Elephas maximus indicus: one gene and its partners. The protein of the gene in region 1 interacts with the protein of each later gene in a biochemical or structural test. Links are inferred from orthologs where the notes say so. Each region holds a gene or a part of one and is shown on either strand. Other genes may lie near its edges. The genes, in order: NCOA6, THRA, RXRA and TGS1.

Region 1 (7,460 bases):
TAGCACACTGAGCACTGTGCTTGACACACCAGATGTCTTGGCACACAATAAATAACTGTTGAATGGAAGATATGCCTGGTAGTGGGAATCATAGTAGGCTTCTTAACGTGAGGTTTAGAGACAAGAGCTCATAGAGAGAATTCAGGGAGTCCGTGAACTTGTGTTATTTTCACTGAACTCCAACTGAAGTTACCATTTTCTTCAAACATAAGTGTAGACAAAAAATCATTGTACTATTAGCAGCACCTATGACTCTGTCAATACAAACATCACAGATACCTTTATATATTTCAGTAGTTATAGATATCTAAAAATATTACTTATACTCATTTCTTTGAAATTAAAATAATCAGACCCTTCACTAGATCTTTTTGTGTTTAATTTTTTTTTGTAATTTTTATTGTGCTTTAAGTGAAAGTTTACAAACCAAGTCAGTCTCTCACATAAAAACTTATGTACACCTTGCTACATACTCCCAATTACGCTCCCCCTAATGAGACAACCCGCTCTCTCCCTCCACTCTCTCTTTTCGTGTCTATTTCACCAGCTTCTATCCCCCTCTACCCTCTCATCTCCCCTCCAAGCAGGAGACGCCAACAGAGTCTCAAGTGTCCTGATCCAAGAAGCTCACTCCTCACCAGCATCCCTCTCCAACCCGTTGTCCAGTCCAATCCATGTCTGAAGAGTTGGCTTCGGGAATGGTTCCTGTCCTGGGCCAACAGAAGGTCTGGGGGCCATGACCACCAGGGTCCTTCTAGTCTCAGTCAGACCACTAAGTCTGGTCTTTTTATGAGAATTCGGGGTCCGCATCCCACCGCTCTCCCGTTCCCTCAGGGGTTCTCTGTTATGTTCCCTGTCAGGGCAGTCATGAGTTAAACAGCCGGACATCATTTAGTTCTTTGACTAGATCTTTTTAACGTGCTGCTAAAGTATATACATTACTATATCACAGTTTGTAATATTTTAATAACTATTTCAATATAATTGGTTTCCTCTGTAATCCTATATTATTTTATTTTATACAATTAAAAATATTATTCTGAGAGGAGTCCATAGGCTTCATCAGATGCTAAGGGGCCCATGACACCCCTGTATTAAAAAGACCCAGAATAAATGAACTGCGTTGCTGTATATACATACAATAATGAAAATTTTACTGTTATAAATGCTCTCTTAATCTTTTTAATTTTATGGGGGCTCTGGGCCTACCACATCATGACCAATTTGCATAGTTTCCCTGAGAACTCTACCACAGCCCATCTGAACTTTGAACTCCTTTCTATTATGATCAAACTTCGACTAACATTTGATCATGACAGAGATTCTGGGTCTCTACCATTGTTTACTGTTATCTTTTTAGGCTTTTTGTGTCCATTTACGGTATAAAACCAAACCCACTGCTGTCGAGTCAGCTCCAACCACTAAAAGAGAAGGATCATTTCTAAAAATTATAAGAAGTTAGAGGTCAAAAGGGTCTTGAAGATAACTTTTTTGCATAAATGGAAGTGAGCTAATAACAAATAGCTGGTTACCTATACTTTTTGGTATTCCCCCCCCACCCTCTGCACTGACAACGCATTATAAAACCAATTCATTAATAGTTTTCTGATACATACTGCCATTCTTTACTTAACATTTTTCTCCCAGCTACCACATGCTTTTAAGGCAGCGTGATGAATGAGAAGGCAGCAAACCTGAGTTCTGGAATCCCCTCTGCCACTGCTTCTAAGATCTTGGGAAATCAACTTTACCTTTCTATGTCTCACCTAAAATCACTACATAATCTGAAACCATTACAGGATTCACTCCTTTTTACCAAGCTTACTGGCTTCGATAAATGCGTTTCCGACGACCTCCCTAGGTGACCCTGCTTTTAAGCAGTGGGCTGTCCCTTTCCTGGGAAGACACCTTGGGTCACCGCCCCCAAACAGCCTGGTTCCTCCTTTTAAAGACACAGACAAACTCCCTAAATTGATGGAGGCTTGCTCTCTCCTTGCCAACAGCTCCACTCGGCACCCCTTTTGCTGGCCAGCTCCTTCACTCAAACCTCAGCCCCTTCTTCTCTCTTCCTCATCAAACCCTTCCCTTTTTCTGGTGCTCTCGCCAATGAAGGGTGAAGAACCCTGGGGTACATAAGTCTTCAGTCCCTTGGGGGTTATAAAAACTTGCAATTCAGCGCCAGGACTCCGAGGGCTGCCCAATCCAATACCTCCGTCTGAACCCGAAGGTCCCCCGTTTCTAATCAAACCCACCTGGAGAACTGTCCTAGCCTTGACAGCTTGAGCTAGGCCCCCACGTCCCCCGGGTCGAACCTGTACTGGGGTCCTGAACACCGCCCATGGCCCAACTCGGCTTCAGGTCCTGCCCCCACCTAACTCAGTAGACTCCGGCCACGGTTCCATTCGGACCCAGTGTCCCTTCTTCGCGACCCCGGCCACGACCCCACGTCCGGCTCCCGCCAGTTCCCTGGGCCCCGAGCGCCACGCCGTGCAGACCCCGGCCCGGCCCTGCACTCCCTCGGGGCTCCAGACCCGGCGACCCACAACCCCCCCACCCCCGGCCAAGCCCCCGCTCCCGTCGGCGCCCCCGCCCGCAGGCCTGGGGCCCGCTCCCCAACATGGCGACGGGGACACCAGCCCGGCGGGCGGGGCGGCTCCGGGCCCGGCCCGTACTCGGGCCGCGCTCCACGGTCGGCCGGCGCCATTTTCCCGCGCCGGGCCCGAGCGGCACTTCCTTCCCGCGGAGCCAGCCGGGCCGAGATCGCGGACGCCCGGCGGGCCCACCCCTTACGGGCCCGCGTCGCCGTCGCCTCACCTGAGCGCCGCTCCGGCCCTCCCGGGCGGGCCTCGGAGAGCCGGCCCGGGCCGTGCGTGCCCGCAGCCCTCCGTGCGTCCGTCCGTCCGTCCTCGCGTGCGCCCGTCTGTCCGGCCGTCTGCTCCCGGCCGCCCGCAGCCCGACCCGCCAGGGCCTCAGGGAGCCGGCGGGGAGGGGGATGGGCCGGACCGGGCCGGTGAGGGAGGGGGAGGGAGGGAGGGAGCGCGGGAGGGGGCGGGGCGGACCAGAGGGGCGGGGCCCTGTCCACGTGACCAAACGTCCCCGGGAGCGCGAGGGGCGCGCGCCCGCTCACGTGGGTGCAGAGCATTTAGTGCTGGGATGGCATGGATTTGTGTCAGTTTCTCTGCTCCGTGATCTCACCAGTGGCTCCTGCCCCGACTTCTAACCACTGCACAACACAGCGGGAGCGCTCTGGCTGGGTGTCCTTGGGTAACTCACCTCTCCATGCCTCAGTTTCCTCATCTGAAGTACGGGGATAGTAGTTGCGATTGACAAGAGGAAATGGGAAAAGCATGGAAAGCACTTGGCACAGGGCCTGGAGCGTAACGAAGATAACAGCCTTTATCATTATTTGTCTGTAAGCTCCTCTCTACTTTTTCTCATAACCACCACACTAGCAAGCTCTGTAGGTGCTCAATAAATATATCCCTTTAGTGAACAAGTGCGTGTGGCCCCCTCCCCTCTCAAATGTGGGGAGGACCCCCCAGCACTGGACTTGATGTCATACAGCTCTGAATTCAGATCTGCCTTTCCCTCTTGATAGCTGTGTGATTTTTTTTGCCTCTCTGAACCTCAGTTTCTTCATCTGTAAAATGGAAGTAAAGAGTCTCTTATGAGCATCACAGAAGATAGAAGATGAGCAGATGGATTGTAAACTGCTTATAGGTGTCCTGGTCTCATCTTAGAAAAGAAGTCGGGAGCCCTTTCATTCACAGGTATTTATTGAGCACACACTATGTGCTCGGACTAGTGTAGTACCCACTTACAGCCTTTTCACATGCTCCCTGCACCCTCTCCAATCTATTCTCCACTCTGCTGTCAGAGTAACATTTCTAAGTCAGAAATCTGATTATGTTAGTCCCCTATTTGAAACTATTTGACAGCTTCATGTTGCTCTTGAGATAAAGACCAAATCAATGTCTTACTGTTGTCTTCCCCACCTCTCCAGGTGCATCTCAGGCCCTCTTCCATCTCTGGGCTGCAACCACAATGGTCTTCTTCCCAATTCTTTACACATTGTAATCCCTCCCTCCTCAGCACCCTTGCACATGCTCATTCTCTGCCTGAAATGCTCTGCCCCCCTTAGCCTTCAGATCCAAACTCAAATGTCACTACCCCAAGAACGCCTTCCCTGGCCATCCCCCCCAGACAGGCCCCCTTAGCAGCATGCACTTATCCTTGATAGAACAGACTAGGTGGTTTATTGCCACTAGAATGTGGACTCCCTTGTTCACCGCTGTTCCCTCAGCATGTAACACAATGCCTGGCACAGAGTAGGCGCTCAATCAATATTTGCTGTATGTATGGATCCTGTGCACTATACTAGGTGCTGAGTCCAAAAGGACAGAGAAAAGCAAAGAGAACAACAGTGCAGCTATAAAATTAACACCGAAGGACTTTGCAAGAGGCTGGACATTATTTTTTTGAAACTTTTGAAAAATTGAGGTATAATTTATATGCAGCAAAATGCAAAAATCTTAACTTTATACCTAATAAATTTTTAGCTATGTTCCTGTGTTAACACCTCTCAGATCAAGTTATAGAACATCTCTAACAGCCCAAAGGGTTCCCTTCTGTCACTTCCAGAACGTCCCCTCCCAGTCAATACCTGATTCCCCAAAGGTAACCACTACTCTGACTTCTAGCACCGTAAATTAACTTTGACAGTTCTTGAACTTCACATAAACAGAACTGTATAGTACGTACTGTTTTGTGTTAGCCTGGAAATCTGACAGAGCTAAAGAGTGACTATTTGGATAATGATACAATTAATGTGTTGCTTGACTGATTAGTTAATCTGAAAGACTGAACGAGAAACTCTGGTCACTTGATCCTATTTAGACAGGGGTCCTGCCAGCAGCCAGCCCAGAGGCTGAAATGACATCATCCACAGACCTCTGAGCCCCACAAAAGCTTTTGAAGGTAAGAAAGCTCTGAAAAATTCCACAACCTGAGCCACTGTCCTTACTTTTCACTTTCTTATCCATTTCCTTAAGCCAAGGGTCATTGGTTTTCCCGGGATCAGCAAGGAAACAAGGAGTTGAGGACAGAGGTGCCAACTTGGTTGCCTACACATCCTGGAAGTGAAAATAGCAGCATAAACAGGGTCCACAGCCCCACAGGAAGGCAACAAAGGAACAAGAACAGACCATGAACTGGCAGACAGTGTGCGTAATGATTACAAGCTTGGACTCTGAAGCCAGAATGCCCAAGTTCAGGTTCTAGCTCTGCCATTTATTAGCTATGTGATATTGAGCAAATCCAATCTCCTTGTTTTACAGATGAGAAAATGAGAGCACAAGGAGATAAATGACTTGCCTAACAGGGTCAGTTCTACTCTGCCCTTTAGGGTCACTATGAGTTGGAATCGACTCAACGGCAACAGGTTTGGTTTTTTTTTTTGTTTGACAGGGTCCAAAGCATTTTCTTTGTTTCATTTATTTTGTTTTGTGTCCCAAATAGACTGTAAGTTCCCCCAAGGAAGCTCTTTTTGAATAACCATCACTTGTAATATCACTTACCTTTTTTGTGCCTTAGTTGTGTTATCTGTAAGATGCAGATAATAAGGGCTCCTATCTCATAAGGTCCTCAGGAGAACTAAATGAATTGTTACATAAGAATGTCTAGAAGGGTGTCTAGCACAGATGATGGCCTCAACATGCAGCAGATGAACACAAACCTCTGAATACATTTTTAGGCTGTTTCACAGAGTGTTTTGAGCAAAAAGTAGTCCTAAGATGCCCAGCTTCTTGTTCCGGAATCAGACTTGGGTAAATAAAAAGCAAATCCATTGTTCTTTGATATGAGCAATTTATTCAAATGAGCATTTATTGAACTTCTATTTTCATATGTACATTAAGCTTTGAAGTGATAAAATTGATAGTGACTACGTGAATGATGTTTTTCAGAAGAACAAGTAACAACGAACATGGGGAAAAAAAAAAGGACAAACCAACCCAGAACGCACCAACATTCTACTCTCTGCAGGGCTCATCACAACAAAACCAAACAGGGTTACCATATGCAATTCGGGAAATTGTGCCCTGCAAGAGGAAACCACATCTAAGTGGGCGCTATTCCCATTATAGACATTGTAGGTTTGTAAATCTGTTGTGTTAATTTACCAGCAGATGGCAGTAAGTGCCTTGTTATTACAAAATACGCTCATAATTTTCAAAGGGAAATAATGTACACTCTTTGTACTTTGCATAAAGGCTTAGTTCGTATGAGCATGTGTAAAGCTGATGAATTTTCACAAATTGAACAAACCTGTGCAACCAGCATCTAAATCAAGAAACAGAACATTACCAAAAGCCAAACCAAACGCATTGCTATCAATTCCAACTCATAGCAACCGTACAGGACAGATTAGAACTATCCCACAGGGTTTCCAAGGAGTGGCTGGTGAACTGGAACTGCAGACCCTTTCATTAGCAGCTGAACTCTTAACCACTGAGCCATTACCAGGCCCCCAGAAATCCCATAGTTTCCCTTCCCCTCATTACCACCCTGAGAGCAGCATCCTGAATCCATAGATTAGGTTTGCCAAGTTTTAAACTTTATATATGTGTGTGTGTATATATATATACATATATATATATGTGTGTGTGTATATATATATATATATATACACACACACATATATATAAATGGATTCATACAGAATGCACTCTTTTTGGCTCCTTTGCTCAATTTTATGTTTTCGAGATTCATCTATATTTTTGCATGTAGTTGTAGTGTGTTATTTTCATTGCTGCATAGCATTTCACTGTTTGAATATCCTATAATTTATCCGTTCTACCACTGGTGGGCATTTAGGTTTTTCCTTTAGGGCTATTTTTAATAGTACTATTATGAACATTCTTTTTTTTTTTTTTGAACATTCTTGTACATATCTTTGGGTAAACATATGTACAATGTTCTATTGGTTATATACCTAGGACTGGGGTCATAGAATTGGCTTGTATTCAGCTGTAGCTGCCATACCCATTGCCATTAAGTGGATTCCAACTCATAGTGATCCTATAGGACAGGGTAGACCTGCCCCATAGGTTTTCCTAGACTGTAATCATTACAAAAGCAGACCGCCACAACTTTCTCCCATGAAACAACTGGTGGGTTCAAACAGCCGACCTTTTGGTTAGCGGCCAAGCATTTTAACCACTACCCCACCAGGGTTTTAGCTGATAATGCCAAATTCTGTGTATTTTTTAAAGCAGCTTTATTGATATATATAATACACATTTAAAGTATACAATTCACCCATTTAAAGTACACAATTCAAATGGTTTTAGTATAGTCACAGATATAAGCAACCACCACCATAGTCAATTTCAGAGCATATTTTCATCACCTCAAAAAGAAACCTCATACCCTTAACCGTCAGACCTCTCTTCTTCCACTAC
Region 2 (7,802 bases), on another chromosome or scaffold:
ATAAAGATTTACAGCCTTGGAAACCCTATGGGTCAGTTCTGTTCTGTCTCTATGAGTTGGAATTGACTTGATGGTAATGGGTTTTGGTAGCTCTGGGCAAGAGTCATTTTCACTTTCTCTGCTTTGCCCTTCTGGCTCTCTAGTCTGTAAATATCAGAAGCCAGTCTTTCTCTACACCACCTCCCCAATATCTTCCTAGGGACCCTCTTCAGCTCTCTGACTAGATTCCACAAGGACTAGACTCCTTGATAATCATCCAGAGGGTGAGAGAAGAGATGCTGATATCCCCTTAGGGTATACAAGGAAATTCTCCCCTCAGTCCTGCCCAAAAATCCCACCTATTTACTCCACTTGCTTTTCTATCTATTTCTTCTGATTCAGCACAGATAGGGGCTGAGCTCCCCTGTCTGCTTTCCTAGCTCTGAGCCCCAATCTCTTCATCCTTTGGCTAGATTGGCTGGGGAAGGGGTCTGGCTGGAGAAGACAGGCAGATGGAAGCCAGTCAGGCAGTGACATGGCAACATTTGAAGCAGTGGCTAAAAAAGGAACTAGGCCAGAGTGGGTGATTGGGGTGGGTAAAGAGGTTGTGAGGAACAGAGTTTTGGGTACCCAAAGGGAAGGGTACACTTCTTACCTAGGCTAAGAAGGTGTATAAGGAAAAGTGGCAAGAGTCCAAATCTAAAAGCCCAGAAAGACTGAAATACTTGGCAAGCATACAAGACACAGAGGGTTTCAACTTCTTTCATTTCCATAGGGAAACTGAGTCATTACCCTCTCCTAACTGGGAGATCTTTCTTTGGAAGCTTGCCTGGGTCCCTCCACTATGGGGACTTAACTGGCAGCAGGTGGATGGGGAAAGAAAGAATGTCCATCCCACACACTCATACACAGCTGGCTCCAAACCAGTTCCCTTCCCCCTCCAGTTCCCAAATCAAAATCCCTGCTTTCTGTCTGGGAGAGGAGATGATGGGGGAGAGGCCTACAGGTGACCACACCTCAGGGACAGCTCATGGGTCCCCCACTGTTCCCAGTCTCTGTCTTCTCATTGCCCCCACAAGAGGTCCAGAAAGAGACTGGCTGAACAATGAAAAGCAGAATTTGAACCAACCTTTGGAATAGCTTCCTTTCTGACACCCTGGAGGATGCCTTTAGGAACAGAAGAGAAGTGCTAGAGTGGAAGAAAAGTACTGTGATCCTGAGCCCTGGACAGTGGCAGGGAAAGGAGGCCTGCCTGCTATTTCCTTTACACTAGGGCCTGAGAGCCACTCTGCCTTACATACTGTATACTCTGCCTGCCTCGACACAGACCCTCCCATTCACCTGCTGTGGGAAGGACGCAGGATGGTCAGCCCCAGGCTTGGATGGTAAAGCAGTCTGCCCCTCAGCTCCTTTCTTTTTTGGTAAAGGCAGTGATGAGGATGCTGTAAGGGAAAGTGAAACCAGAAGCTGGGAAAATCTGAGGGATCCAATACCTGACACATTAAATGGTGAAAATAATGTGTGTCAAATAAAATACAGTCTGGGGAAGGTGTCAGCTTCTTTTTCCACTTTTTACCTCAGTTACCAAAAGCAAGGCTCAGCCAGGCCTGAGTCCCTTCCCTAGCCCCCTCTTTTGCCACCCATAACCAGTCACCTGACGGGACAAAGGAGATTGATAGAGGTGAATTGAGTGGCCACTTTCCTCTTTTCTAAGAGCTTCGCTGTAACCAAAAGGTCAGCAGTTCAAATCCATCAGCTGCTCCTCAGGTCCTGTGGGGCAGTTCTACTCTGTCCTATGGGGTCACGATGAGTTGGAATTGACTAGATGGGAATGGGGGGGGAGGTTTGGTTTTTGGCTTACTCTTTTCAGAGTAATTACTCGTTAACTTCCCACAGTCTGCTCCTCCTCCCTGCCTCCCCCCCAGCTTTTCTTTCCTCCATTTTCCCTGTCTCTTCTTGACTGGGAGATCTCTAAGGGGAAGAGACACCTGGGGTTTAGGTTCTACGGTAGTGTTTCAGTTTCTTCTGCTGTCTTTCCAGTGTACCCCAATAAGTGGGGCTGTGTCTACAGAGCCAAGGGGTATCTCCACTGTATACCTTATCACTTGCTGATATCACCCAGAGCCTAAGAGGTTGATATGAGGGACAAGAATCACCAAGGCTGGGACCACAGAGCTGGTTCCAAGGCAGGCTGGCAAAGGCTTGCTCCCAAAAAAACTGCTTGGGGGTGTGCGAGGCTTCTTGACAGGGGTAGAGGATGCTGTGTAAGATCATGGCTGCTAGGTTTTTGGAGGAAGCTGTTCAGAAAGATATCTGGAGTCTCTGGTCCCTAGGAACGGAACCCTCCAGAAATCTTAGGGTGCTTCCTAGCAACAGTCTGGGAGAAAGGGGGGAGGGAAGGAAGGAGAAAGAGAGAGGGAGGGACTGAGCATGGCTTTTCCGATGGGAGCCAGAGAACAGGCTGTTCCTGCTGCCTCCTTGGCAACGGAAATCTAAGAGAGAGCAGGCTGCCAGACAAATCCCCTTGGAGGGTCCTTATCCATCCTCACTTGTGACCCACCCTCCCTCTCTCCCTACAGACTCAGGGCTTGATATGAAGCAGAGGTGGGGGGATGGAAGGGGACAGTGCCAACACAGCCCAGGTGGGGGTTTTGTAGCCAGGAGGAATGGAAGCCAGGGATGAACTGAATCCAAGAAGAGCTGGAAGCTTCAAGAAACAGGGGTGGATAGGGTAAGTGGGGTGGGAAGAGGGATGGCCCAAAACAGGGGCAAGGGCTGTAAGGCCAGGCCTGGGCTAGATCCTGGCACCTGGCAAGATGTCTGCTGCTTTGGAGCCAGTATGCCCTTCACTTTGCCCTTGCCCAGGTCCGTCACCAGCTCATATTGGGAACCAAGAGAGGGAGAGAGATAAGAAGATGGAAAGGGGAAACTCTTCTCTTTGAGTTCAAGGTGCCTCATTCTCCCTCTGGGCCTCATCACCCCTGCCCCAATCTAGATTACTCTGGGCCTGTCTATCCCCTCCTGGTTCTGCCAGGCTCACTGCAGACTACCAGTGTATCTCATGGGCCAAATCCTCAGGCAGCCCAGTCTTATGGGGCGATTTCCATAGTGGGTGGGACACACACCCTGAGTGCTGCTCATTGCAGACTTATTCTCCAGGATTTCAGCCAAAGCTGATCACTGAGGTGGCAGTGACTCGCAGACAGCCACCCTCAGTGCACCTCGCACTGCACACTGCACGCTGCAGCCTCCAGCCCCACACTGCAGCTGTCACGTGTCCACTGTGAGCCCAGACTGAACCTGTATGTTCACTCACTCTGTGTTGTCTCTGCATACCACAGCTGCCACTGCATGCACACTGCAGGCTCCTGTCATGCATTGCACAGCCCTCATCACTGCCATCCACTCTGCACCCCATGGCTGCCACCCCAGCCGCCTTTCTCGTTGCCATGGCCCCAGGGGCCCTGAGAAAGGCACCTTCCTCTCCCCCATGAATTGTGAACCCCAGTCCCCCTTGTAAGAGAAGTGGCTCTGACAGAGCTGAGGATGCAGGTGGCTGAGACTAAGATGATTAAGGGCAGCCTGACTTGCTGAGCAACAGAACCCCACCAGAGCCAGTTAGAATCCCACACTCAGAAAGTGATTCTGCCCAGTACAAACTGGGCTATGAACACAAAGGCTCCTCCTGACACACACACACACACACCTCCACAAGAGCAGGCTGTGAAGATGGAGCCCCACCCTAGGAGATGTGGGAAGGCTGTGGCCCCCGCTGGTAAAACTGGGCTAATGACAGCAGGGGAACTGGTGGGGCGGGGGGGTGGGGTGGGGAGTGGGTGCTAGGGTAATTAGAGCTCTGCCTGGTGCTGGGAGATCCTGAGATGAAAGGGGCTCTGGCGTCACTGGGATGGTTTTATGTCCATGAATGCAGGTGTGTATGTGTGTGTGCATGGGGGGTGGGGTTAGCACAATGGAGACCTCCCTTTTGGGAAAGGGGGTCCGTTTTTATACAGCCCACCCTCCTCCTTAGAATGGCCCTGGTACCTTTGGGTTTTAGTGGGGGCAAACATGGGAGAAAATGCCATCCCTGTCAAACTGGGAGTTGAGGGGGTATGGCAAGTTTGGCCCCTCCCCGAGCTCAGCGGGGTCAGATTGTTGGGGAAAAGGCTGGTGACAGTGAGATATAAAGAGCGTATTTTAGAAAAGGGTGACATTTCAAAGGGGAGGCTGCTGATCAGTAACGTTAGAAATGAGAGGGGAGGGAGGTAATGGGGAATGAGCTGATAACCCCTAAAAGGATGACTGAAGTTAAAAGAACCTCAGGGGTCACCTGCCCAACCCTCTCATTTGAGGTTGAAAAAGCTGAGCCCTGAGAGCGGTGGTGATTTGCTCAAGGTCACACAGTGAGGTACTGGCAGAGAAGGGACCCGAACTCTGAAATGAACTCGAAACCTCCAGGCGTTTGGTATTTAGGCTTTTCCCCCCTATTTAGGAGGTGCAGGAGGCCCGTTGGCACTCTCTCCCAGGCCCCCCCCCGCCCCCATGGTGCAAACCGAAAACCCCGAACTGCCCAAGCAAAGGCTATTTTTTAAAAGACATCTTTTCCAAAATCTGTCAGCAAGTACCACTCCTGCAGGAGCCGCCTGAGCAGGGAGGGCGCATCTGAGAGGGCGGGGGCCGAGGCGGCCGAGGGGCGGCCGGGCGCTGGCGGGGGTCCCGGGGCGCGGCGGGGGGCGGGAGGCGGGGGCCCGCGGCGGCGCGGCGGCCTGCAGGGAGCAGCCGCGAGCCGGCCGGGCGCGCCGAGCCCGAGCCCCAGCCGGAGCGGGGCGGGGGAGGGAGGAGCCAGAGCGGCCGCCGCCTCTGCTGGAGGAGCCGCGGGGCCGCCACACTCGCCCCCCGCCCCCCCCCCGCGCTCACTCGCACTCACACCCGGGCGCAGGAGGCGGGCGGCCGGGCCCCACTGGCCCCCCATGGACGCCCCCGGCTCGGGGCGCTGAGACCTCCTGGTCGCTGCCCAGCCCGGTCCAGCGCGCCACGCCGAGGTAAGGGGGAGGGAGCGAGGGGGCATTAATATGCAAATGTATCGCGATTGATTATGCAAAGCTGCGGGGCTCTAAGGCTAGCTCCTAGGCGGTCTGGGGGCGCCCAGGGGATCCGGTTGCCAGCCACCGCCTTTCCCGGCGCCCCAGTTACCCTGTCATAGCCCGGGCGCTTGCAACTTACGCCCTGGGGAATGGAGGTGTTGCTGGGAGGTCGGTGGGCCCCGGGGTTCGCCGGTGGAGATGGCGTCCGGGCCTCCCCCTCTAGGGCCCGCCCGGCCTCTGTCCGGCCAGTCTGCTGCGCATTCCCGGGTCGGGCCGGGCTGCTGGCCGGCCGGAGCTCCCCCGCCCGCCGCGCCGCTGTTTGTTTACGGTGCGCCGGAGGCCTGCCCCCCCCAGCCCCCACCCCTAGCCTCCGAGGCCGAGTGGCCATTGCAAAGCTGCCTCCGGCTGCGGAGGGCAGTGGGAGTGCGGTGGGGGGGCGGGGGGTGGCCTTGCACGGGCGCGGGGAGAGGGAAGTTCCCCCTCCCACTCCACCCGCCTCTCCAATTGAGCATGGTTCTCTGGTTGCAACACTCCTAATTGCAAAAACGCGACTCGGGGGGGAAAGTGTGTGTGGGGGGTTTGTGGTCGAGGGTCCCTAGGAGATTAGAAGCGTGGCAGGTTGGGATGGCTGGGGAAGAGAGGGAGCAAAGGACTTGTGTGTATTCTCCCTCCTTGCTTTCTGCTCCTTGCAATGGGTCTCTGATGCCCCTTCTCTGTCTGGAGCCTCCCTTGTCCATGTGGAAGAAGAGGCCTGCGCGGGGGGGGGGGGGGGCAGATGATAGGGACAATGGAGAGAGCCACCTGCTTCAGGGGTGGGGTGGGGGCACAGAAGAAAAGCCAATGCTGGCTGGAGGGGGAGGGGATGAAGGGGGCTGTTGTCCTAGATGAGGGGGGCAGCGAATGTGACATGCAGACACAGAAATATGCCCACACAGACAGCCACATGCACACCCAGGGACACCCAGGCAGATTCAAGGACAGGAGCTGCTGGACACACCCACACGGGGACAAGAGAAGGGGCAGGCTGCCGCTGCACTGTGGAGCTCAGAGGGGTAGGACACACCCACGGGAGACCAAGAGCAGGGAGAGCGACCCATGAACATACCCACGCACAGGGTAACACAGAGATACTGTCACACTCAGGGGCAAGGAGGAGTCACTGTCACAAGCATGCATGCACACAGAGCGTTGCACACAGCTGCACAATTACAAAAGACCCCGTCACTCACAGGCACACATGTGCTCACATAACCCCAGTCACACAGACATCATCTCCCGCCGTGACAGCCGCTGTCACAGAAATGCAGTTACACATCAACACATGTACACAACTTAGCAACAAGTATTTTCCTGGATTCTTACTGTGTGGCTCTGGGGTTCTGTATACAGCAAAACTCCTGCTCCTAAGAAAATTAAATTCACCTTTGTGAAAAGACTTTCTTGCATCATGGTACAAGGAGGCAGGCATTCAGGATAACACGTCTTCAGTCTCTATTGATTGTCTCCTACCACCCTCCTAGCTCCTTGAGACCTGGGGGAATCACTTCAACAGCTCTGGTTACCACCCAGAGCCTAGCACAAGAAGTCCTGTAAATATGTGTTAATTGACTGTGGGAACTGCAGACACAGGTGCACTCATTTGCACAGTCCCACCGGCTCAGGTGCAGACCCAATTCACAAGCCCAGGCCCACACAGTCTCAGGTCCACCCTGACAGTCGTGTCCAGACAACCCCAGATGCACACACTGCAGCCCATGCAGTCAGACACACACCTGGATACCCACAAAATCACAGGCTTTTTTCTCCTGAAACTTCCTTCTATGTCTTCTTTCCTTCTTCCTCTAGGATCAGCCACTGAGTTTTAAGGGAATGGACTCTTTTTTTTTTTTGGAGGGACTGAGAAACAAGAGCAAAGAGAGTAGGGGCAGGGAGGTTCCAGAGGGCCCAGTCTTGGGTCTGAAGCAGTGCCCAGTGACTTCTAGCAGCTGGGATTGTCCTGAGTGCTGGGGGAGGGGGTGTCTTGGGGAGAGCTGGCTCCTAGGGAGTGGTCCTCATCCCCACCCTAAAAGCAAACTGGGGGATCTAGCTGCCCCTGCTGTGGATTATATGCCTGGGCCTTTCCTGGGGACGCACCCTAGCCCCCAGCTGAGTTCCTGCCTCCCACCATGAGTTGGGCCCCTTTTCCCACCTCGGCCCTTCTGTCCAAACTTGGAAGCTTTCCTTAGGAGGCCGTATGCTGTTGAGTGTCTGGGTGAGTGATGTGTATTTTTGACTTGGAATTTGTAACTCTCTCTCTCTTTCTGTTGCTCAGTCTTGCTGCGCCTGATTCTCCCTCTCTCTCTGTCTTTCTCTGCCAGTCTGGAACACTCTCTCACCCTGTCACTACCCCATCCTTGTCTCTGTTTCTGCCACAGCCTCCTCTCTCAGAGCTGGGAACTGGCGGTGATGTTCTTCATACTTTTCCAGTTGTTAATACTCAAACTCCGCCCCTGCGCCCCGCCTGCCCTGCCTCTGGGGTCAAGTAGAGGTTGGGGTGGGGGGTGGGGGGCTCAGCTGGCTGCTCAGGACATCCTGCGCTTCCTTAATGCTACAGCTGTGGCTGGCCAGTTTGGGGGGGCTGGGAATGGGAAGGAGGGAGGTCAGCTGCTGCCCATGCTGACCCCTCAGCTGGGGGGCTCAGCCAGGGGACACCAGCTCTGTGGAAGCCCTTGGTTTGTAGCCTGCAGCTAGCTAGGTCCC
Region 3 (7,220 bases), on another chromosome or scaffold:
GCCCCCAGGCTGCACTCAGCTGTGGCTGTCAGTCTCACGAGGCACGGCTGGCGCTGCCCCAGTGCCCCAGGGCTTGAGGAGCAGGGCGGACTGGGAGGGGTCCATGCTCCCAGAAAACTTACAGAGAAGGAGCACAGAGCCTCACGCCCAAGCCGACAGCCCCTGGGACTCAGCAGCCACGTGGCCTTGGTCTCCCTCCAGGCCCCTGGTCACTCCATCCAGGCCGCGCCATGCACGCACCCACCATCTGCTCACACTGCTCTTGACACCTGAAACCCCAGTGGCTGTGGGACCCGCGGCAGTTGCCCCCCACCCCTATAAAGGCACACACCACTGGAACTCACTAGATCCCCAAGTCCCAGGCCTCTCCCCACCCGGCTGTCCTAGGCCCCCTCGTGTTCCCTGCAGACCTGCACAGCTCCTGGCTCACCATAGTCCGCTGGGAACCCACACCCACCACATGGAGCAGGCACCTACGCTCAGCTTGCCCAGAGTGGGGTTCAGGAATGACAAGGGGTTACACTGCGGAGTGAACGGGTACAGGCTTCGGTTCTGGTGGGCAAGAGTGTGCCCTTTTCTGCATCTTCGTTTGGCCTGGATTCTGTGTCCCCTGGACGTGGTATTTCATAACAATGACACAACCCCCCAAGCCGATTTCGGCGAGACCTTGGCCAGACAGACCCCATTTCCTCCTTGACCTCCCCTGCTGCGTCCACGGCTGGTTCAGGGCCCAGGACCACACCTGGGCCAGCTCACCCAGGTAGGAGGGTGTGGTCAAGTCCTGCCTGGATCAAGGATCAGGGCCCAGCCTACTTCCTCCTTGCCCAGCCCAAGTCAAAAGCTTTATTCCCAAGAGGCAAGCCAAGCCAACTCAGCTGTGGCTGGTGGTCATCCATGACCCCTAGATCCTCCTCAACTGCCTGAGGGCCTGTGCTCCTGGGTGGGGCAGAAGTGGGGAGGTGCCTGTGGAGTCCTTTTGGTGCTCACCTCACCCAATAGGTTCATTCGTGCCCAACCAGCCACATCACCTGGAAACAAACCCCTGAGTCCTCAGGGGTCAGGGAAGAGAAGACCTCAGGGCTCCCAAGGCTTAACCTCAGCCTCACAGGGAGCAGGCGGGCCGGGGACTGTGCAGCTTCTTCAGCCGACCCAGCCCTGGGGGAATGGGGCTCGTCCTGACCAGGGGCCTGGCACCCAGCCCACCCACCCCCTCAGACCCGTGTGGACCAGCCTCAGGCCCCACAAAACAACCCTCCACAATTGCCGTCTTCCTCTTCCCAGCCCCCACCCACCCATCCCCACCTCTGCACAAACACAGGCCCTGTCTGCAGGTCACACCAAGCCCTGAGGGTCTGAGCCTGCACCTGGGCGTGGCCTAATGCCTCCTGGCCCCCAACCAGAGTGCTCCCAACATTCAGCAAGAGCCAAGAATGTGGCAGGCACAGAGCCCAGGCCCAGTGCAGAATCGTGACAAGCACGCATGTGCCTCTCTGAGGATGGGCAGAGACACATTCCCCACGGGATCCCAGCTGCCCACTCTCAGGCACGTATCCCAGCAACTCCACACTCAGGGGAGTCAGGTCGGTGGCTTGAAATTGGCCGTGACGGGACTTCCCACCACGGAAATCGGCCAACACCACAGAGAAGCCCCACCCCCAGGGCCAGCTGGTAAACGTGCACCAGCTTATATCAGCTGCCCCTCTCCAGGCCTTGGTTTCCCCACATTCGGCTGGACAGAGCTAGACCAGTGAGCTGAAAGCACCCTTCACTTACCCCAGGACCCGGAGTCCGCAGACCTGCTGCCCCACCCAAGCCCAAGGGGCTCCTGGTATCCAGCCCCCTGTGTCGGGTCCACTCGCCAGGGCAGCAGCATCCAAGATGGCAGCCCTGGGGAGAACTCCCAGGGCTCCTGCCTTTCCTCTCAGCCTGCAGGCCAGGCCTCTCTCCTGCCGCCTGGACCCTGCCACAGCACTGTTCTGGACTCCTCAGCACAGGCTCCTGGACCTGGGAGGCCCTACGGGCCCCCAGCAGCCCCCACTGCCCTCCCCCGGGCCTCGCCCTGGCTGGAGCCCTCCGGGCCCAGTCAGCAAACACACACAGCACCCCCAGCTTCCTTCCTCACACCCTCAGCCAGCAGCACGAGTAGGCCCAGCACGGGCGGGGGCAGGCAAATGAGGCCCAGCTCACAGTTCCCCTCCACACCTCAGCTTGGCCAGCTGCCCCATCCCTCTGGCCCTATCTCGGCAGGGGGGCTGGGAGCCTCAGCAGAGAGACCACAGGCCCGGGGCTACCTCAGGAGAGCCCCACTGACCACTACACGGATGTACCGTACGACGAAGGGCAAGCCCCAGACACGTTTTCGTCACCCCCACCCCAGAGCACAAAAAGGTGCCAGGCATAGCCGCAGCCCAACCACCACTGGGCACCTCTGTGTCCGGACCCAGAATAGGTGAGGAAGCTGCCTGCTTCTCAGTAGCTGGGCTGGTGAGGACACCCGGGTACCCCACTAATTCACGGTGTCACCCCTCGAAGCTGCTGACCAGGAAAAAATCCCTAAAGATGGGCAAGGCCAGGAGGCCCTGTCAGCCGGAAGAACCTCTGAATCCGCCAGGGATCTCCACTGGCTGCTTGCCCGCTCATCATCAGGTGCCTGCCCGGGCCAACCCCTCCGTTCTGCACATCAGCTGAGGTCGGCGTGTGGGAGTAGCCATCTGCCCCTGCCGGACGAAGTCCTAGCCTCAGAAAAAGCACGAACATGTCCTTCCCTTGGTTATTCTCGGCTCCCGCCAGGGACGCTTCCTCGAGGAAGGCTTCCCTGCCGCTGGCAGGCAGTCTACTCTCAGCGCATCCAGCCCTAGCTCTGTGGCAGGCGCCAGGTCTGCAGGGGCCTGGTGAGGGTAACAAGTGCCCGGGGGCAATCTCTTAAGTTGCCAATTCAAGATGAGCAGACGTTAATAGCGGAAACACCTTCCCCCCCTTGTCCAGCTGTCTCAGGCGGGCACCTTTCCTATTTGTGGCGCCTCAGAATATCATTCCACATCTCATCTGCCACCCCCTTAGACTTGTGTCAGTGGGCAAGTACCCCCCCCACCCTTCCCCTCAATACACCTCTGTGGGTCTGCGTCCCCCACCCAACTGTGGGCTCCAAGACTGGCCCCACCCCTGGTCTCACTTCAAGGCCTCTGAACCCTCTAAGCCCCGCCACAGCTGGCCCACCTCCTTGGGAGCCCCGGGCTACCTCTCTCCGTCCTCAAGAAAAGGAGCCCCCGAGTCCTCCAGGTGGCCCTCCTGAGATCAGGGCTCTGCTGTCTCTGATAAGGGGAACCTCCACTTTGCAGACCTCACACTAGGTGGAGGCTACTGGCCACATGGGAGACCCCTATGGCTCAAAGCTCCATGATCCTGATCTGGCAGCTCTGCAGCCCCAGAGGGCCCTCTTCTGGCCTCAGACCTTCCCAGCCTTGGAGTGAGGGTTTGGCCGAAGGTGCTCGGATCCTGGGGGAGCTGGCTGGCAGCCAGTTTCCTTTTCCCACGCTGCCCAGGAGCAGGAGTTTGGACAGAACAAGGCCGGGGCAGGGGTGGCAGATACTCCACAGTGGCAGGTCACTGGCCATCGGCCCTGGACAATCCCTCTCCTATCTGGTCCTCAGGCACTCCCCTTGCCAGAAAAGGAACCTGGGTGCCGAGCTTCTGACCACTCCATCTGCGTCCCACCCTCAGCCTCCTGGCTGAACTCTCCTGGCCATTCTAAACTGACCCCGGGACACAGGCTGCCTGGGCGAGCTCTGAGTGGTGTAGGGCCTGTACAAGGGGCTCCTACCCCCAGTCCACCCAGCCTGCCCACCCCACCTCACAGACAGGAACCTGAGACCCTCCTCCCGGCTTACCGAAGGGCAGGGAGAGACCTGATCTTGAGGACATGAAACCCTCAATCCAGCCCTCTGTTTCACAGGGGAGAGCAGGCAGCCCCCAGCTGCCGCCCTGTGCCCATGTACAGCCCCCAGGTTCCCAAGCCAGGCCCCAGGCAGGCCACACACAGGCCTCGGCACGCCGGCCTGGAGCCCGCCCCACCCACCCCCTCCCTGGGCTAAGCATGACTCATGGGGCCGGCACGACGCCCCCGTCCATACCGGCAGGCAGGCCGCCCTCTGAACACGCACCTGCCCAGGCTTGACAGCAGACAGCGCCAGCAATGCCAGACCGCTCAGGACGCTGGGCAGCAGGAGAGGGTACCTGGGAGCCCAGGCAATGCCCTTGGGGGTGGGGGGCACTGAGAAAGCAGCTGCACAGCCCCCACAGGGCTGGAGTCCTCGAAAGGCCCAAGAGACCACTTGAGTTCACACCAGGCCCTGCGCTGGAGCCCCCGCAGCCGAAAATGGCCCTGGAGCACAGACAAAGCCTGCTGCACCCTCTCTGGTCACCAAAGCAGAAGCCATTGGCCAGCCTGTGGGCTCTGCTGAACTGGAGGCTGGGACTCTCAATCCAGGCCCACTTCCCCTCCCCATGGGAGGCCTCCGGAAAGACAGAGCTTCACCCAGGAGGGAGGTCAGCCAGTGGGCCTCAGGCCTCTGCTCTGAACGGACACCCTGAGGACCTCAGGCCAGTGTCTGCCTGTCTCGGGCCTCAGTCTCCTCACCTGTAAAATGGGCAGGTGCTGTGAAGGAGACAGGCCAGGACACCATCCTCAGGAGCCCCCAGGGACAGGAGAGAACTGAGGAGGGGCTTACCTCGTGCATGTGCTCCTAAAGGGAGCCGCCAGCTGGGGGTGGGAGGGCTAGGCGGATCGTGGGCCTCAGGGCGGGAACTAGAGCCCAGAAGCCATATCGCTGGGAGGAGCGGGGGATAGCTGTGTGTCTTCACTGACTGGAAGACGGCGGCAGAGGCTCTCAGAGCTCATCACCACCCTCCCTGGCCAGGAGTAAAGGCAGGGGCTCCTGGTGCCCCCACCCCAAGATAGGGCTGGGCCTCTCTTTCCGCACAGGACGGAGGACAAGCCGACTGGACGAAATGAAACAAAGTTACAGCCAGGACCGCCCAGCCCACCCAGCGCCACTCCAGGGTCCTCTGCAGCCATAGGCGGGACTGAGCTGCCATGGGGCAGGACCACCACTGGCCGGGCTGGGGCCACTCTGAGGATGAAGAGTCGCCGCCCCTCCCTCAGCAAACCCCAAGACCAGGCTGCCTGCCAGAGCCACCGGAGCTCCCCACCCCCTGGCGTGTGACCCAGAGCCACTGACCAGGCCTGTGGTGGCCACAGCCCCCACTGGGCCCCTGCCCCTCAGCACCAGGTGCTCTGACTAGGCAGCATCCACCCAGAGGGCAGCTCCGTGGGCCACCCAGAGCCTGGCTCTGCGCAAACAAACCAGTAAGCACCCACATTCCCCTCCAGGCCAAGGGTCCCCCACAGGGGCAGGCAACCTCAATCCCCAGCCCCATATTCCAGAGACTTAAACTGCCGGGTCCCTGCGCAAAACCACAGCACAGCAGCGCCTACGGGGCCCCACACTGCCTATGCCGTCGAGAACACGCCCCCTCCCTGTGACAACAGTGAGCACAGACCCCTTCCCGAAGCAGCCGGGGTGGCCTCGGGCCTCAACGTGCTCTTGACCGCCTCCCAGCCTTGCCCACAGCTCTGTGGCTGCCAGCTTCCTGCCGGGCTCCCGCCTAATCCCCAAACACAGTTCGGGGTGAAACCTGCTCACCACACGCAGTGGCGTGGCTCCCGAGACCAGCAGGCGGCCGCAGGCTCCCGGCAGGAGAAATGAAAATCTCTACAAGAATTGGGGTGCTCCTCACTCCCTCCAAAATCTACCACACGAAGCTGCGGTCCCGACCCCAACTCCATCCTGAATCAGCCCGGGGCTGAGCAAGTCATCCAAAGCCTGAGGCCTTGCCCATCACTGCGCAAATGGGAAGACAGCTGACCCCACCCACCACCCCAGGGAGGAGGGCGCCAGGAAAGTGCTGAGCTCAGAGGGAGTGTCAACTGGATGCCCCCTGGGAAAACCAATGCCCTGGGCACCGCCCCCCCCCCACATCGATGGGCTAGTCTGATCAGGGCTGCAACCAAGCCAGTGTGTGCTGTGCCCACCAAGACCCGCCCAGAGTGACCACCTTGGCCACCCTAAGGGCCCAAGGCCCACACAGGTGGGTGGACTGATACACAGACACACTCCTACAGGGATGTTCAGGGAACCGAGCCCTGATTCATGCACTGCTGCAGGTAGACCTCACACAAGGCCACCCCACACGTACCCTCTGGGACTGCCCAGGGCCTGTGCGCCTGCCCAGCTCAGGGCTCAAGACCAGCAGCAGGGGCCTGCCTGGGATGCAGCAGGGTGCACAAACGCCAGAGAGGCCACCTCCTCTAATGCACCTGTCCTGTCTCCCTCGGCCACACGGTCCGCACCAGGCTGCTGAGCAGCCCGGCCCCTCGTTCCTCTCAGCTTCGAAGAGCCACCTCCAAGCCCCTGCCTCAAGGGAGGGAAGAAGGCAGATGCCCTGAGCCCCAGCCCCACCAGCAAATGGCAACCAGGCTGGGGGGGGTTCTCTGATATCCACGGCACGCCAGGCCCTGTGCTGGGCGCTTCACAATAGACCCCCTCAGTTCTCTCAACAACTCCATGTTGTAGGCATCACCCTCTTGTACAGAAAGGGAACAGGGGGCTCACAGACATGAAGCCAGTCAGCAGTGGCTGCTTGACTACAGACTGCACTCCAGGAGAGGAGGAGGAAGGAAGAGAGGAGGGAGGCAGCTGTCAGGGATGAGCAGAGCCTGTGTCTGGCCCCTTTGGCCACAGCGGGCAGCAGGGGGGCTGGTGTCACAACACTAGTGGGGACACAGGTAATGGACAACGGGAGCAGCACAGATGAACGAGACAGACGCTGGCACACGTGGAGGTAAAGGCACAAGGCCAACCCCACACACACCCTGTGGGGGGCCCAGAATCCCCCAGCCCCTCAGAATGCCCTCCTAGTGGTCCAGTGCTGCCCGGAGAGCAGAAGCGTGGCAGAGCCAGTGTCCCCAGCATCCAGCACCCGCAGCCTCTCCTCTAGCTGCCCAGCCCCGGGGAAAGGCCTCCTTCTTCCCCCCAAAAAACAGGCAGGGAATGTGGGGGCAATCCCCCCTCCTCACAGGACAGCCCAACCTTGACAGAAACGGAAACTCTGTATTCCATTTTTGCTTAGAAACGATAAACACCAAGACACACCACCCCCTG
Region 4 (7,967 bases), on another chromosome or scaffold:
TTGAAACACGTTATGACAGTGTATGCCCTGGGCTTCCCTTCTATCTCTCTCTGTCCCCAGTTAATGCACCTCTTCTCTTCCTCAAGGATGGATTCCACCCTTCCCCCTCTCTCACTGGCACTAAATTGATGGTTTCAAGTACTATTTAAAAATGGATCGCTTAAGCTCTTATGACAAGCTCAGCTGTCTCTAGAGCTCTAAACCGATGTATCCAACTACCTATAACATCTACTCTTGGATATCTCATAAATGAGTTGCCACTGAGTGGATTCCAACTCATGGCAACCCCATGTGTGTCAGAGTAGAAATGCACTCCAGAGTTTTTAATGGCTGATTTTTTGGAAGCAGATTGCTGGTCTTTCTTCCCAGGCACCCCCAGGTGGACCTGAACCTCTAACCATTTGGGTGCATTAACATATGTACCACCCAGGGACTCCAAGGTATCTCAAGATCAGTACGTACAAAATCAAACTCATGACCTACTCAGTGCCGTCCCAACATAAAAATCATGATCCCCAGGGGTCTCTGGCTCAGTGACAAGCAACAGTATAAGCCAGAAACCAGGTAGTTATACTCGACCCAGTCTCCTCCTTCCCATCCTTCACTGCCCCATCCAATCCAATTTGCCAACCCCGACCATTTCTCACCTATCTTTTCCCCAGTCTCTATTTCCACTGCCATTGATCCTAATCCAAGCCATCATAATCTCTTGCCTGGACGATGGTCTTAAAAGGTTTTCCTTGAAAACATTCTCCATTCTGCTACCAGAGTAATCTTTTCAAAGTGCAAATGTGATCATGTCACTCCCTACCTTAAAGTCTTCCTATAGTCTACAGAGTCCTGCATGTTTTGATCCTGCCTACCTCACCAATCCTATCTCCTACCTTTCCTTCCCAGTCACTGTATTTCAGTTTTGCTGGCTTTCTTTTGATCCTCCAAGGGGCTTAAATAGAGTTTCTCCTTTGGACACGTTTCCTCCCACACATAATTATTAGTTACTAGTTGTCCTAAGCTGACCCTGGCTCATGGCAACCCCATGTGTGTCCGAGTAGAACCGGGCTCTGCAGCATTTTCAAAGGCTGACTTCCACCCCACCCCGACCCCTGAAGTTCATGAGGCCTGTCTTCTGAGGTGCCTCCTCAGTTTATTTCCACTCAAACTTTAGACCTCTATTCAAATGATACTTCCTCAAAGAAACCTCTGTGACCCTTAGATAAAGACTAGGTTGTTATAGCATGAAACCAAACCAAACCCAGTGCCATCGAGTCTATTCTGACTCATAGCGACCCTATAGGACAGAGTAGAACTGCCCCACAGCGTTTCCAAGGAGCGCCTGGTGGATTCGAACTGCTGACCCTTTGATTAGCAGCTGTAGCACTTAACCACTACACCACCAGGGTTTCCGCATCCTCCCATACCACTTATAAAATAATTAACTGAGTGATTATTTAAATAGTTGTCTAAATATTGATCTCCTTTCTGAGAAAGTCAACAAAATGGGTGTAGGGACGGGCTGTTCTGTTATCCCAGGGCCTGTCAGGGTTGCTAACACAATAAGCATTCATCTAATGAATGCATGAATACAAAAACAGGTTTTGTTTTGAAAAGACCTACTTTTTACATCAAGTTTAACAAAAAGTTTAGTTTCTTTTTGGGCTAATTTTCAGATTACTTCACAAAACATGACTGATAGTTAAAACAAATATTTCAGCGACAGGGAAGTAGGGCACTGTCAGTACTGTGATTATACTTCAGGCATAGGAAAATATTTTAAAATTCCGTATTGATGTAAATAATCTCTTCCAATTTAAATTTACTACATTCAACATATCAAAAGGCTATTACACAAAATTCATTCCCACAGGATTTGATTCTCTCAATAAGCATGTGAGATAATTAGGGCAAATATGCATGTTTTAGAAATGAATAAAGGTTTAAGTAATTTAAGTCACAGATATAACATTGAGAAAATCATTCCTAGAATCCAATTCTCTAGTTAGCTTTTTCCCATACACTAGCTATCTTCCATGCTGGACAATTTTTGCCTGATAGAAACATTTTCCAAAGATAAAGATATCTCAAAAACTGATGCAAATATAGCTAAACATTTTATCTTATATAATCATTAGTTCTAATTACGTACATTTCAGCTTTAATGTGTCTTAACATTTTTAAAAAGATGTTGACCAAAACAAGTATCCAACTTTAAAGCTATACCTTGTGACATCACATCCACTAAAGAGACCACATTTTGTATTCCACTTTCCCCCAAAATTTAAATGTGTCCTCAGTTTATAAGGAAACCCTGGTGGCGTAGTGGCTAAATGCTACGGCTGTTACCCAAGAGGTCGCAGTTCGAATCCGCGAGGCGCTCCTTGGAAACTCTAGAAGTCAGTTCTACCCTGTCCTATAGGGTCGCTGGGAGTCGGAATGGACTCGACGGCACTGGGTTTTTGGTTCTCAGTTTATAGACATGAAACGACACACGTTAGCTAGCACATTTTTTCCTAAGAGCTTTCGAAGTAGGTTTAGTCCTTCACGTACTAATAACGGCAGAAAGTGACCACTTGGTATCACGCCTGGGGACCCGTTTTTCCTTTTTCTTAAACATTATCTTGCCCGAGCGTCAAATACTCTGGCCGTGGTTTCAGGGATCAATGAGAACCACGTTTGCAACAGCTACATTTCTCAGAAATGGTCGTACTAGCAATAAGGAGAAACCCGCTCTTACTTACTCCACAAACGCCCTGGAGCAGAGACAGCGGATCCTATAATCCTCCTCCAGGTCTTCAGGGAAGAGATACATTTCGGCCACGCGGCTCCACTTTTCGCAGCACATTTTATCTCCTCAGAGGCAGCCCTGTCACACATGGCACGGGCCGGGGCTCCGCTCGGTTACCAGGGACGCGCAGAAAGCCTCCCCCGCCTCGCCTGCCCTGCAGACCCGTGGTTAGGAACGCGCCCGGGCCGCTCGCGCAAGGTAGCAGCCGGGCCGCCGACGGAAGTGGCAGGGGCGGCACGGGAAGGGGCGGGGCCGCGGGGGTGTACCAGGAAACGCGGCCCGGGCAGCGGCGGCCATTGGCTTCCTTCTCACAGATGTGCCCGCACCTCAAGTATCCGAGCTTCATTCAGCGGTGGGAACATCAGAAAGCTCTCGCCGCCGCTCGCTCCCACCCGCCCGAGGTGCGTCGCAGCTCTGCCTGGGCCTTTCCGCGCTGCTCCCCGCCCGGTGTCCGGGCGCGTGCCGTCTGGCCCGGCGGGGAGCGGGGAAGGCCGCGCGCGCGGCCCCCGCAGCTCCGGCTCCTCCGTGACCCAGGCGGGAGGTCCTACCTGGGCTCGCTCTCCTCTCGCCCCGCATCTTCCCGCGCGCTCAGAACCTTCCAGTTTGGCGTGTCTCGTCGAAACCTAGGGGATAAGGAGAGGCTTCTCCTCCCTGGCTGGAGGCCTCTGGGCTTGCCCAGCAGACCCTTTTCGAGCCTGCTCTGTGTAAAAGCTGAAGGAAATTATGTGAGGATAACGAGAGTTCAGAGATGGGTCTTAGGAAGTGGCTGGGAGCGTTTGCATCCTTGGGACCCGGGTTATGACCCTGTGGTGGCTGTGCACCTGGGCAAGCGACTTCACCTGCCTGAGCCTCGTGTTGATAATCTGTAAAACGGGCATGATTTCTCTTATACCTGTGTCATAGGGCTGTTGAAAGGGCTGAGTGAGACAATGGATGTCAAACTTCGCACCAGAAACTCGTTGCCATCCAGTCCATTCCCACCCCGAGTGACCGTATGGACAGAGGAGAACTGCCCCACAGGGTTTCCAAGGCTGTGAGTCCTTAGGGAAGCAGGCTGCCAGTGTTCTCCCGCCCAGCGGCTGGGAGGGGCTCGTCGCGGCGGTTTGCGCCCAGTAAAGCAGGTCCAGCCGCTACTAATCCCAAAAGAATGGTAGATGGGCACGTAAGTAGGGTAGAGGAGACCGGAGCAGCGCTGCTGGGCTTGAAGAAGGTGTGTGGTGGTCGCTGACTGCCCAGGCAGCTTCCTCCAGGAAGCAAGTCCGGGCCTGGTGGTGTTGGTGCGTTGTACTGTTAATGACTACGAGCATTGGTATTTCTTTAGAACTATAAAAAACTGAAATAAAATCCAGACGTTTAGAACGATCACCAATATTTTGGCCGCATTTACTAGTGCGGACAAAATATGGGTGGAAATAGATTAAATTTAAAATAAAATGTTTATTCCCATGGCTCTTACTTCTGCTTTGATGTCAGAGATAGGCCGACCTCGGTGACTCAGGAGTGTAAGAATGCTGCAAAGTTACAGATGTTGTATGCCTTTGAGTTGCATCTGACTCAGAGCAACCATATAGAACAGAGTACAGCTGCCCCATAGGGTTTCCTAAAAGCTGGTGGAATAAGAGCTGGAATCCACCAGCTGTTCCTTGGGAACCCTATGGGGCAGTTGTACTCTGTCCTGTAGGATTGAGGTGAGTCAGGATCAACTTAAGGGCAACGGGTTTGATTTGTTGTTGTTAATGTTTATGGGAGCAGATCAGATCTCCGGGTCTTTTCTCCTGCTTGAGTCATTGATGGATTCGAGCAGCTGACCTTTTTGGTAAGCAGCCAAGCACTTTACTATTGTGTTACCAGGGCTTCTAAAATACACCTATATAAATGTGCAACTTTTTTGTGTGTGTTTTTTGATGAGTGGCTAGGTTAGTAAAATAATAATGATAGGATAGTAATCAAATAGAAGATTTTAACTAGAAGTTAAAGGGGATTCTACTCAAAAGGCAATTCATATCAGATCTAGAGTTTGAAGCTGGAAATCTAAAAGGCATTTTAAGAAGATGCCCACTAACAGCAGTGGATTTTATATGGTAAATGGGTTGGGTTTGCCAGGTATCTTGACTGAAGTATTAGGGAAACTTCACTGTTCCTCATGGTAGGATGCTTATTTGCTAAAACTGAGGACTAGACCCGTGTTAAACCATTTTAAACATACAGAAAAGGAAAAATTAATTTGTAGTTCACTGAGTATTTTTTTAGATTGACGTTTTCAGAGTGTTCGCAATGTGGCTGTTACACAAAAAGTAAGGAATGAATATCTGCTACCATCCATAGTGGTAATAGTACTGGTATTGGGTGTTTAAAAGTAGATACATTCCCTTAAAGTTTCATAGAAAACAAAACAAAAATTAGTTTTTTAAAAAATTCCTGTAAGGTTAATTATAGAAAATGTACTTCACCATCAATATCAGTTATTGATATTTCAGCTTGTCATCCTTTTCTTACAAATTAAAGTTGCATGAATTCCAAAAAGGAAAAATGATACTTCCCAGGTGATTATAGGACTGTGTTTTACTGTAGGTTTTTTTTTTCTCTTTTGTGTATGTGGTAATAATAACCTGGAATTTTGGTAACTAAAATATATATCTCTCAGAACACGTCTTTTAACAATTACAGTTTTTATTGACTTAAAGGCGGTGGTAAGGAGTCAAGTACAGCTTGTGATAAATTGGAGGGCAGAAAGGCTGGGCAGAAGTAGAAGACAGAAATTACAGTCTTCATATTTTCAACCTTTCTGTTAAGAAAAATTAAAGAACGAGTGATGGAAACTAGGCTAGGAATTAGGAGAACTGGATTTAAATTTGGGTCCTCATTTAACTAGTGTTGTGACTTTGGCAGGTCTGCTTGGCTTTCTGTGTTTAAATTTTGTTTTCTGCAAAATTCAGAAGTTGCGCTCATTGAGTTGTAAAGCCCCTTTCTCAAATTATTCAAAGAAAATTATTTTATCAGCTCAAAAGCATGATATTCAAACTCCTCTCAAAGCTCTCCAGTGGCAAGTTTTAGGACACTGTCCTGGTCCACATTTTTGTCAAAAATTTTGGATGAGCACAGTTCATATACTAGCCAGCATTTATTTGTTGAGTGCCTACTCACTGCACGCCAGGCATTATTCCAAGTATGTATATATTTTTAAACTTAACAGCCTGTTTTGCTTACCAAATATCCCAGTGCCTAGAATAGTGTCTGGCATAAAGTGTTTGCTCAGTAAATATGTTGAATGAATGAATGAATGACCCAGTGATGTAGGTCTTCTTTGGACCACCCGCTTTTGTGTACACTGTAACATTTCCTTTCTTGCCTGGTCAAGGACATGCCCCCTGCTGTTTATCTTTCCCCATAGTTTCTGTCTTTCCACGTAGTATATATTTACTCGTTTCTTTGTTTATTGTCGGTCTTCCCCTTCTAGAACGTGAGCCGCGTGAGGTCATGGATTTTTATTTACTGCTGTGTTTGGAAAATGCTTGATACATAGTATGTTACGCAGTGGCTCAGTAAATCTTCATTGAGATGGTCTCTAAATGCAGGTGGGATATACACAAGGTTGCACTTTGGCTTTTGTGGACTTGTTTTAATTTTCTTTAGCTTGAACTAGCATATGAGCAATTGATGGTCCGTTCTGTAGTCAGCCCCTGACCTTGTTCTGACTGATGATGCTGAGCTTATCCATCGTCTCTTTCCACACATGCAGTCAGTTTGATTCCTGCGTATTCCATCCAGCAAAGTCTACGTGTATAGTTGCCGGTTTTGTTGTTGAAAAAAGGTATTCCAGTGAATGAGTCGTTAGTCTTGCAAAATTCTCTGTGGAGTTGTTTCTGTCACCAAGGCCATACTTTCCAACTACGGATCCTCCCTCTTTGTTTCCAACTTTTGCATTACAATTACCGGTAATTTTCAATTACGGGTCAGCCCACTGACTGGAAGAGATCCATTTTCGTGCCCATCGCAAAGAAAGGTTATCCAAAGGAACGCAGAAATTGTTGAGCAATATCGTTAATATCACATGCAAGTCAAATTATGCTGAAGATAATTCAGAAACGGGTGCAGCAGTATATTGACAGGGAACTGCCTGGAATTCGTGATGCATTCAGAAGAAAACATGGAATGAGGGATGTCATTGCTGATGTCAGATGGATTTTGGCTGAGAGCAGAGAATAAGAGAAAGATGTTTACCTGTGTTTTATTGACTATGCAAGGGCATAGTCATGGATAATGTCACACAGAATTGGAATTCTGGAACAGTTAATTGTGCTCATGCAGAATCCATACATAGACCAAGAAGCAGTTGTTCGAGCAGAACAAGGGACTACTGCGTGATTTAAAATCAAGAAAGGTGTTTGTCAGTGTTGTATCCTTCCACCATACTTAATCAGTCTGTATGCTGAGCGCATAATCTGAGACACTGGAGTATATGAAGAAGAACACGATATCAGGATTGTAGGAAAACCCTTTAACAACCTGTGACATGCAGATGATACAAGCTTGCTTGCTGAAAGTGAAGAGGACTTGAAGCAGTTACTGATGAAGATCAAAGACTACAGTCTTTAATATGGATTACACCTCAACCTAAAGAAAACAGAAATCCTGACAAGTGAACCAATGAGCAGCGTCATGATAAATGGAGAAAAGATTGAAGCTGTCAAGGATTTCATTTTACTTGGATCCACAATCAGTGCCCATGGAAGCAGCAGTCAAGAAATCAAACAATGTATTGCACTGTGCAAATTTGCTGCAAAAGACCTCTTCAAAGTGTTAAAAAGAAAGATGTCACTTTGAGGCCTTAAGGTGCACCTGACCCAAGCCATTGGTATTTTCACTTGTCTCATATGGATGAGAAAGCTGGACAGTGAATAAGGAAGACCAAAGAAGAATTGATGCATTTGAATTATGGTGTTGGTCAGCAATATTGAGCATACCATGAACAGCCAGAAGAACAAACAAATCTGTCTTGGAAGAAGTACAGCCAGAATGCTCCTTAGAAGCGAGGGTAGTGAGACTTCGTCTGAAGTACTTTGGACACGTTATCAAGAGGAACTAGTCCCTGGAGAAGGACATCATGCTTGATAAAGCTGAGGGTAAACGAAAGGAGGAAGACTCTTAATGAGATGGATGGACACAGTGGCTCCAAGAATGGGCT

What was found.
Region 2: the proteins of NCOA6 (region 1) and THRA form a complex in vitro, tested with the Homo sapiens proteins (2 studies listed by BioGRID). The link is inferred for Elephas maximus indicus from reciprocal best matches to the Homo sapiens genes NCOA6 and THRA.
Region 3: the proteins of NCOA6 (region 1) and RXRA form a complex in vitro, tested with the Homo sapiens proteins (5 studies listed by BioGRID). The link is inferred for Elephas maximus indicus from reciprocal best matches to the Homo sapiens genes NCOA6 and RXRA.
Region 4: the proteins of NCOA6 (region 1) and TGS1 form a complex in vitro, tested with the Homo sapiens proteins (2 studies listed by BioGRID). The link is inferred for Elephas maximus indicus from reciprocal best matches to the Homo sapiens genes NCOA6 and TGS1.

The regions. Positions count from the first base shown.
Region 1 is NC_064843.1:34,635,880-34,643,339, reverse strand, and holds the start of NCOA6 (nuclear receptor coactivator 6), read right to left. Parts: upstream 3,018-7,460; 5' UTR 2,815-3,017; intron 1-2,814. UniProt on the Homo sapiens protein: Nuclear receptor coactivator that directly binds nuclear receptors and stimulates the transcriptional activities in a hormone-dependent fashion. Coactivates expression in an agonist- and AF2-dependent manner.
Region 2 is NC_064837.1:47,293,143-47,300,944, forward strand, and holds the start of THRA (thyroid hormone receptor alpha), read left to right. Parts: upstream 1-4,800; 5' UTR 4,801-5,021; intron 5,022-5,202; exon of another isoform or gene 5,203-5,368; intron 5,369-7,802. Other genes in the region: MED24 (mediator of RNA polymerase II transcription subunit 24), read right to left, coding at 1,321-1,421.
Region 3 is NC_064827.1:4,206,821-4,214,040, forward strand, and holds the start of RXRA (retinoic acid receptor RXR-alpha), read right to left. Parts: upstream 3,001-7,220; 5' UTR 1,874-3,000; coding exon 1,774-1,873; intron 1-1,773. UniProt on the Homo sapiens protein: Receptor for retinoic acid that acts as a transcription factor.
Region 4 is NC_064837.1:77,267,145-77,275,111, forward strand, and holds the start of TGS1 (trimethylguanosine synthase), read right to left. Parts: upstream 3,006-7,967; 5' UTR 2,840-3,005; coding exon 2,736-2,839; intron 1-2,735. UniProt on the Homo sapiens protein: Catalyzes the 2 serial methylation steps for the conversion of the 7-monomethylguanosine (m(7)G) caps of snRNAs and snoRNAs to a 2,2,7-trimethylguanosine (m(2,2,7)G) cap structure.